Coturnix japonica: one gene and its partner. The protein of the gene in region 1 purifies or fractionates together with the protein of each later gene. This does not show direct contact. Links are inferred from orthologs where the notes say so. Each region holds a gene or a part of one and is shown in the gene's direction. Other genes may lie near its edges.

Region 1 (4,273 bases):
AATGGTAGGTTTGGGTATGGATGTGCTGGAGTGTATGAAACTGACAGCACATGTGCATGTACTCAGGGTAAAAAATGTTTTTTGCTAACTCACAGGTATAAGGAGAAATATATTCTTTATTAGAGAGCATCAGGTTAAAACATGAGTCATACATCTCACTTGTTATGTCTGCATGTCATACTTTCTCTCCAATATCTTTGCTTCCTACTAGATGGTCTGCTCTTCTCATTTCACAATACTCAGAAAATTTGGAATGCTAAATAAGAATTGCCCTTTAAAATTTGCTTTTGGAATAGATTTTTCTTCCCACCCTTTCCTCCCCTCTTCCCTTGTACCCACATACACAGATAACATCCTAAGTTCTCAGAAATGTTGGAGCTGCAAAGAAGGTGCCCAGAGAACATAGCTGTGCTTTCCAACTGTGTCAGTTAGCAATGTGCATTTTCCTCATCAGGATCTCAGAGCAGCTCTAGAAAATATACTGTAATTTTGTTTCTAGGAATTACTTGTGTGAGTAAGTTCTCAATGGCAGAGCAGGTCAGTGATTCCATGCTTAGCTCTCAGAGGCAACTTTTAGATCACAGACAAATCATCATTTATAATAATCATTCAATATAATTATGGTTTTCTGTTTTGGCATGGCTTATAATATCTTTAGGCATATTTCATAAACAGAGGTAATGGTTTAAATTAAGTGAAAACTCATTAATCCCAGTTATTCTACATTTGATGAATATCATTACTACTGCAAGGATTCAAATATCACTGCAGTGATGCCACCTAGAAGGCAAAATGTTTTTTCCATTTAGTATCATCTTTTACAACTGATGTTGTGCATATATATATATATGTATATGTATAGGTTTTAATCCTGTGTTGTTTATGTATATATTTAGAATATGTTGTCTTCTAGACCTTGAAGTTCACAGTTTGAACCCAGGAAATAAGACCACAGCATCGATCATATTACTGAAGTGTAACCAAAGTCATCATATAAAGCTACTTCAATTCATTTTCTTTAATAAAATGCATATATTTTGAAGTGTGTCAGCCTTGGATGTGGGTTTAAGAAATCATTGAAGGCAAAGTATGGTCCCAAATTATAAATGCTAACATTCGGGTAATCCAGTGTAACGTTTGCTATCTGCTGGCCTCAGAAGCACCTTTTGGAACTACATGTTAAGGGCGGGGAAAGGATGGGAGCAAAGCAAAACAGATCCCATCCCTTTCTTTGTTCTCATTAAGCTGTGAAGGCAGGAGGATTCAGCAGGCACCAAGAGGCGCTCTGGATTTCATTTGAGACAATTCCAGCCGGAGACTTCCCCTGCTCAAGGGATGCGTACCCGCTCGGGGTAACACCGTGATTCCCTCCGCTTGGGCACGGAGTGGCTGGGCTGGAGCACGGATGCTGTCGGTCCCACCTGCGGGGCGGGGCGCTGCTGCGGCAGCCCGATGCCGGGGGAAGCTGGCGCCGCCACCGCTGGGGAGAAGGGATCCTCGCTGACGTCAAATCATCAGAATGATCGCTCGTTCATATCCGGGTCCCCGAACGGCTTCCCCAGGCCGCGCTCGGCCGCCGAGCACTGAGGGATAGGCGGGCAGGGCAGGGCAGGGCAGGGCAGGGCCGCCGCCCACCCATCCGGAGGTGGATGGCGGCAGCGAGGCGTCGTGCATAGAATGCCCGCCACCTCAGCGGAGCCCGCCTGCTGCCGCTGCCCATGGAGATCGCGCTGGTGACTCTGGAGAACGGCGGTGGCGGGGCCATCCCGGCCGGCGAGGATGCCACGGCCGGTAACGCCGGCGGTAGCAGCAGGGCTCGGAGACGGCGCGATCTACGCCACACCGCGGGATCCCCGTCTGTTCCGAGACTGAGCGACGGCAAGGAGGGAACCCCACCGGCATCACCGCCGCCGCAGGTCGAAGAGGAGCGGGAGGGGCCCCCGCTTGCCCCTCCAGGAGGCGGCGGGAGGCGCCGCAGCAGCAGCGAGGGCGGCATCAGCGGCCGGGCGGCGTCGGGACCCCAACCGCAACCAAACGCACCGTGCCCCGGGCCGGCTTCGGAAATGGATCCCCCGGAGGAAGGGGGTCACCGCCGGGGCATGGCCATGGCAGCAGGCAGCGAGGAGGAGGAGATGAAGGCAGCGAGCCGGGGTGCAATGCATCATCAGAGGGTGCTAATCAATATCTCTGGGCTGCACTTTGAGACTCAGCTGGGCACCCTCAACCAGTTTCCTGACACACTGTTGGGTGATCCAGCAAAGCGAGGCAGATACTTTGACCCTCTCAGAAATGAATACTTCTTTGATAGGAACCGGCCCAGCTTTGATGGCATCCTGTACTATTACCAGTCTGGGGGCAAGCTCCGCCGGCCTATCAATGTCTCCATTGATGTCTTTGCTGATGAGATCCGCTTCTACCAGCTGGGGAAGGAGGCCATGGAGCGCTTCCGGGAGGATGAGGGTTTCATCAGAGAAGAGGACAAGCCCCTTCCCCACAACGAGTTTCAGCGCCAGGTCTGGCTCATCTTTGAGTACCCTGAGAGTTCCAGCTCAGCCCGGGCCATCGCCATTGTCTCCGTCTTGGTCATCCTTATCTCCATCATCATCTTCTGCCTGGAGACTCTGCCTGAATTCAGGGATGAACGAGAGATACCCATGTTCTTGCCCCCGCAAAGTGGAGGTTTGAATGCCACAGCTGGAGACTCCTCACCCATGCAGTCACTGAGTAGCCTCTCTGACCCATTCTTCATCATTGAGACCACTTGTGTCATCTGGTTCACCTTTGAGCTCCTTGTGCGTTTCTTCACCTGCCCCAGCAAGCCAGAGTTCTCCCGCAACATCATGAACATCATTGACATCGTGGCCATTATCCCCTACTTCATCACGCTGGGCACAGAATTGGCCAATGAACAACAGCAGCCTGGAGGTAGCAGCAGCAATGGGAGTGGAGGCCAGCAACAAGCCATGTCCTTGGCCATCCTCCGAGTCATCCGCTTGGTGCGGGTCTTCCGGATCTTCAAGCTGTCCCGGCACTCCAAGGGGCTGCAGATCCTGGGGCAGACCCTCAAGGCCAGCATGCGGGAGCTGGGTTTGCTCATCTTCTTCCTCTTCATCGGCGTCATCCTCTTCTCCAGCGCTGTCTACTTTGCTGAGGCTGATGACCCTGAGTCTCATTTCTCCAGCATCCCTGATGCTTTCTGGTGGGCTGTGGTGACCATGACCACTGTGGGCTATGGGGACATGCGACCTGTTTCTGTGGGGGGCAAGATCGTGGGGTCCTTGTGTGCCATTGCTGGTGTGCTCACCATTGCCCTGCCTGTCCCTGTTATTGTGTCCAACTTCAACTACTTCTACCACCGAGAGACTGACCATGAAGAGCAAGCTATGCTCAAAGAAGAACACAGTAGTGCTCAGGACAGTGTAACTGGGGTAGATGGAAAGAGAAGATGCAGTAAAAGCTCTCTGGACAAATCTGTTGTGCACTTGGAAAATAATGAAGAGTTCAAAAGCAGTGCCAGCCCTTTAAAGAAAACCAATATCAAAGCTAAAAGTAACGTAGATCTCAGAAAATCACTATATGCCCTCTGTCTGGATAGCAGCAGGGAAACAGACCTGTGAGGAAAGGAGAGAATTGTAGTTAGAGATGCAGCAGAATTTGCTGGTGTCAGAAACTTACTACTATATTATTTTCCTACCAATTTTGTTGTTTTTTTGGTTTGTTTGTTTGTTAGGTTTTTAAATCAGACTATATTTTGTAATTTGATCACTGTCCTGAGCAGTCCTCCGGGAATAAATGTTTTTATGTTCTTTTTCCATGACACAAATGGTCACCTGTTTTTAAAATAGATTCAGTAAACTATTCTCCGTGATGCAGGAGCTGGTAAATTATGAAAATACAAAATCTAATTTTTAGAAACTTTTATTAGCAAATGATGGTTGGTTTGAAATGGTCATTTGTAATCAATACATTTTCTGCAGATTATTAAAGAGCTGGGGGACATGTGCAGAGAATGAGTGAGTTTTGGAGTGTGAGAGAACAATGAGAGTTTTCAGTTTCAAACTGAAAATATTCTAATTTATTTTGTGTCTACATCAATATATTTATCGATGAAATGGGATTTCCTATTACTGAGACATTCCACTCCATTAAAGCACTAGGAATACTGGCAGATCAGCACTTCTAGAGTTTTCCACTTGTGATCACTACAGATCTGGTTGTGTAGTATGAAAAGTGAATTTGGTGCTTTTAACACCAGCACAGAATTTTTTTTACT
Region 2 (4,354 bases), on another chromosome or scaffold:
GGCCGTGCGGGCTGCAGGGGATGCAGCGGGCTGTGCATCCGCTGCAGGAGCGGCACGGAAATATCTCGCTCCAAATGCGGGGCAGAAAGCAGCTCATGGTCAGCCGGTGCTAATCGCCAATGGAAGGACCATCTGAATTTGAAAGACTAAAATCCCGCCCTTCCCCTCCCGCATTCCTCCCCAACCCCCCCAGTACAATGGCGTGAGGGCTGCAGAGCAGCCACAGGGATTGGAGCGGGTGGGAATAACGCGCAGCCTGCAGGGGGAGCCTCTATGTGATGCCGTAGCGTTGTGTTGGGTTTGGTTGTTTTTTTTCCCTCCCATCAGCAAAATATTGAATTTTGCAGGCCCCGAATTTCTGCGTTGCTTCCTGCTGTGTCGCAAGAGCACGCTCAGGGCAGCAGGGCGGGCAGCAATGCAGGAGCAGCACGGGCAGCGGGCAGCCTCGCTTTGCACCCAGCAGCACAGCAATGGGCCGGGCTGGGCTCAGCATCCCCTGTACCACCCAAGCACACACTCAGCTGCGGTGCTGCTGTCTGCATTGGCTGCAATGTGACACGCTGCCTTCCAGCAAGTGGCAGGAGTTTGGGAGCCCATAATGGGGGTTGGCAGCATGGGGTGGGCTGGGGGGGAACATGGGGAGAGCAGAGCCGTGATGGTGATGGTTGTGGCAGTGGGTCCCACACGGGGTGGCAGAGCTGTGCCATACCCGCACGGCACCGCACACCCATCCGGCCAGCGACAGGAAGCACCGTCACTCTCACCCTCCAACTGTGCTGATTCAACCCAGCTTCCTCTTTTTGCAGGGGCTGAGGCAGCGCGCGGGGCGAGGTTGGCGAGGCTGGCTCCATGTATCCGGAATCCACCACGGACTCCCCGGCACGACTCTCGTTGAGGCAGACGGGCTCCCCCGGCATGATCTACAGGTGAGCAGCCATGTGAGCGGATCCCGGGCAGCCCCTGGGTGCCAGCACCCCATATTTGAAGAGCCGATCCCTGCTGGTACATTGTGCAGCTCGTGGGTTTGGCAGCGACCCGTCCCGGCTTGGCTGCGCGGCGCTGCCCGCTCCCCACTCTGCTAACGCACTTTGTGGCATCTTTCTTCTCTCTCCTCCTTCCTTGCTGTCGGAAGCGCGAGGTATGGGAGCCCCAAGCGCCAGCTCCAGTTCTACAGGTAACCGCGTCCTTTCTTTCTCCCTAAAAACACCTGGGAAGCAGAGAAGGCCCCCAATGGGGCAACCCCTGCTGGTGCCAGGGCCCCATCTGAGGTTCTGCCAGGCCGGGACACCCCACATCCATGTGTGTTGGCTGTGCCATGGGCAGCTGCATGCTGAAGGACCCGGCTGGGGCATGGGAACCACTGGGGGGGTCAGGATGTGGGGCTGGTGCTGTATGGAGAGCAACCCGGGCTGTTAGCAGTTCCCAGGGGGTGCTCCAGGCACCCATCCAGCCCTCTCATCTGCTCCTTGCATTAAGAGAAATGTCATTAACTGATACCTAAGACCACAGATAGCTTTCTTTTTTTTTTACCCAACCTTTTACTGCCTAAAATTAAAAAGGCACTTTTCCCTGGCACAGTGTGCCAGCAGGGCGCTGTGGGCTATGGGGATGGTCCATAGGGGCATGAGGAACAATGCATTGAGTCTGTGTCCCCAAACACAGTGCGTGGATGGGGTGACAGTGGCGAGAAGGGAACTTGGTGCTTGCATTTCGGCTCCCTGGCGCTGCAGGGATGGCTGTGTCCCGTGGATGGACAGCTCAGCCCATGGCACCGCGAGGCGCCGTGCTGCAGCCGCCGGTGAGGGTCGGCTCCGGGCTGAGGAAACGATGCCAGCGTTCATAAAGCAGCTGCACATCCACAGGCTTTTAGTGAAGAAGTCATGAATAATTGAGCTCCTGTTCGCTAGGAAGAAAATAACCTAATAGGGCTAATGGAGCGCCGCTCAAAAACTTGACTCTGGGGGGACTTGTGTTCACCAATTGCTTTGGATGCTCTGCGCCGACACTCCCCTCCACGAAAAAAACCACAGCTGTGCCTCCCTTATAGCTGTCTGAGGGAACCCTAACAGCCAGAGCTTTCCCTTTTAATGAGCAGGAACCCCAGAAGCCGGGTGAGTCCGAGGCACCAGGGCAGCACTCGGGGCTGTGAGCGGGCGCTGCGCTCTCTACTGGGGGCTGCAGTGTAACACTGAGCTGCTTGGCTGGGGAGGGCTTCGTTTGGGCTTCTTATTGCAGTTGTTGTTGCAGGCTGTGACACCCTGGGCGATGGGTTGGGACTGAGGCAGCACTTCACACCTCATTCCCCTGTGCTGCTCTGGGGCCCACTGGGCTGGGGATGTGGGCACAGGGTGATTGCAGCACACAGAGCCCAGAGGGGGTGCTCCCACCGTGGCACATCACTGCCCGGCTGCAGCAGCTTCTCCAGCCCCGGGCTGAGCCGTTGCTTCTCGCTCTTCAGTTTGCAGAAAGTTTGTGCTAATGAGCTGCCCGTGGGTGCGCCCGGTGCTCTCCCTGCTGCATGGCGATGTTGCTCAGCCAAAAATCACAGAGGTGTCAGCTCAGGGCACGCCATTAATTACTGCCTCGCTGCTCCGAGCGGCTCCAATCGTCCCCCTCCGACTCCATCCGCCGCTTTAATTTAATTGCACTGAGATGAAGCCGGAGAAGCAGCGCTTTGCACTCCAACGGCTGCACAGTGAGGGGCAGCTGGTGGGGTTGTGTGTGAGATCCATCAGCTCAGAGAAGGGCTCAGTGCTGGCACTGCAGATCTGAGGGGTGCTGGAGGTTGGGGGGTTTTGCTTTCAGCCCTATGGCCCCACTGCAGAGACATGGGGACACACGGGGAGTGCTGTGCTCAGCTCATCGCCGCAGTGGGTGCTTCGTGGCTTTGGCCTCAGGTGGGGGATCCTCTTTGTGCATTTCCCTGTGCTTTAGGAACACTCTGGGTTCCTTCCCTGCACACGAGGAGCTCCAAAGCATTTTCAAAAAGCATTGTTTATTGCAGGAGCTCCCTGGGGTTTTTGGTAATTCCTTGCAAGCTAAAGCTCTTTCTTTCCCATTCTTGCTTTTTTCTTGAGGTCATACTTGAGTACAAAAGCGCCCTTTGTGCCATAGAACTGCTGTGAGATTGAACTTCACAGGAAAAGGAAAGGATGCCCCATGGCAGTGGGGTGCAGGCAGGCCTCACCCTTATACCTGTGCTGTGTGCACGGTGTGACCTCCTTCCCTTCCCTTGCTCGCTACTGTGCCGCATGTCCCGTTTCTTTGGCACCATGGCTTTCCTGCTTCAGCCGGTCATTGTGCTACCTACAGCCGCGTCCTCCTGCCATCCCCATGCCCTGCACAGCACTGTGGGGTCCGGGGACATCCAAGTGTCCCCACTGCCCGCTGAGCACCGCTGCTCACCCCGCAGCCCCCGCGCTCGGGCAGCAGGATGCTGTCCATGACGTACAGCGAGAGCCTGCGCAGCGTGGCCAGCCGGCACCACGCAGAATGGGGGCTGCAGCCGCCGCGCCGGGCGGATGCTTTGGAGCTGCGGCGGCTGCGGGATGTGCGTGCAGCAGCACAGGCCAAGACTTTGGAGGAGTTCCTGCGGACACACGGGCTCTCGCTGGACGGCTGCACGGCGCACGCCACGGGCATGAGGTACAGGTAAGAGCCGTGGCCATAAGTCCCTTGGCACAGGAGCAGGGTGGCAGTGGGGCAGGGGATGTGGCTGCTCTGTGTGTGTCCAGTGCTGAGCCGTGCTGCCCAGCATGGTGTGTGCAGGAGAGGCCGGAGCACATCAGTGCGTCCTGTTGGCACAGCTCAATGCTCTCACCTTCACTTTAACTCCAGTGTTGGCACAAAGTTGGTGTGTGCCAATGCACAACTGCACTGACCCTGCTGTGAAATGCAGCACCAGAGCACAGGGCAGGGGACAGAGCTGAGCCAGCATCCCATGGAGGGCACAGTGCCTGTGAGTGCAGGGCCAGCAGTGCGCCATTAATGTTGCATGGAGGTGCGGGCAGTGAGCGCTGCGTCGGTGTCTCAGCTTTCATGGTGCTGCTGGGGGAAGGGGGGAAAGCAGCCCCCGTGGAGGGCAGGGCAGCAGGAGCTTCCGCTTCACAATAAGCAGAGGTAACATTTACACCGTGGCAACGGCTCATTCAGTATTCATGCAGTGGTTATTTATTGATGGAGTGTGTGGGCACAGCCCTCGGGCACCCCCCCACCATAGGCCTGGTGCAGGGGTTGGAGGGGCCTGGTGGGGGCTGCTCCCTCAGATCTGCAGCTGTTCCTTTGGGCGAAAGCTGCTGACTGGAGCCTTAATCTGGGCTCAGGCTGCAGGCAGATTAACGCGGGGCTGGGGGGG

The links.
Region 2: the proteins of potassium voltage-gated channel subfamily A member 5-like (region 1) and KCNAB2 purify together in Homo sapiens (co-immunoprecipitation; 3 studies listed by BioGRID and IntAct, counting the BioPlex papers as one, with this or other methods). This does not show direct contact. The link is inferred for Coturnix japonica from reciprocal best matches to the Homo sapiens genes KCNA5 and KCNAB2.

What each region holds. Positions count from the first base shown.
Region 1 is NC_029516.1:67,514,995-67,519,267, forward strand, and holds the start of potassium voltage-gated channel subfamily A member 5-like, read left to right. Parts: upstream 1-1,396; 5' UTR 1,397-1,718; coding exon 1,719-3,617; 3' UTR 3,618-4,273. UniProt on the Homo sapiens protein: Voltage-gated potassium channel that mediates transmembrane potassium transport in excitable membranes. Forms tetrameric potassium-selective channels through which potassium ions pass in accordance with their electrochemical gradient.
Region 2 is NC_029536.1:552,063-556,416, reverse strand, and holds the start of KCNAB2 (voltage-gated potassium channel subunit beta-2), read left to right. Parts: upstream 1-1,389; 5' UTR 1,390-3,433; coding exon 3,434-3,651; intron 3,652-4,354.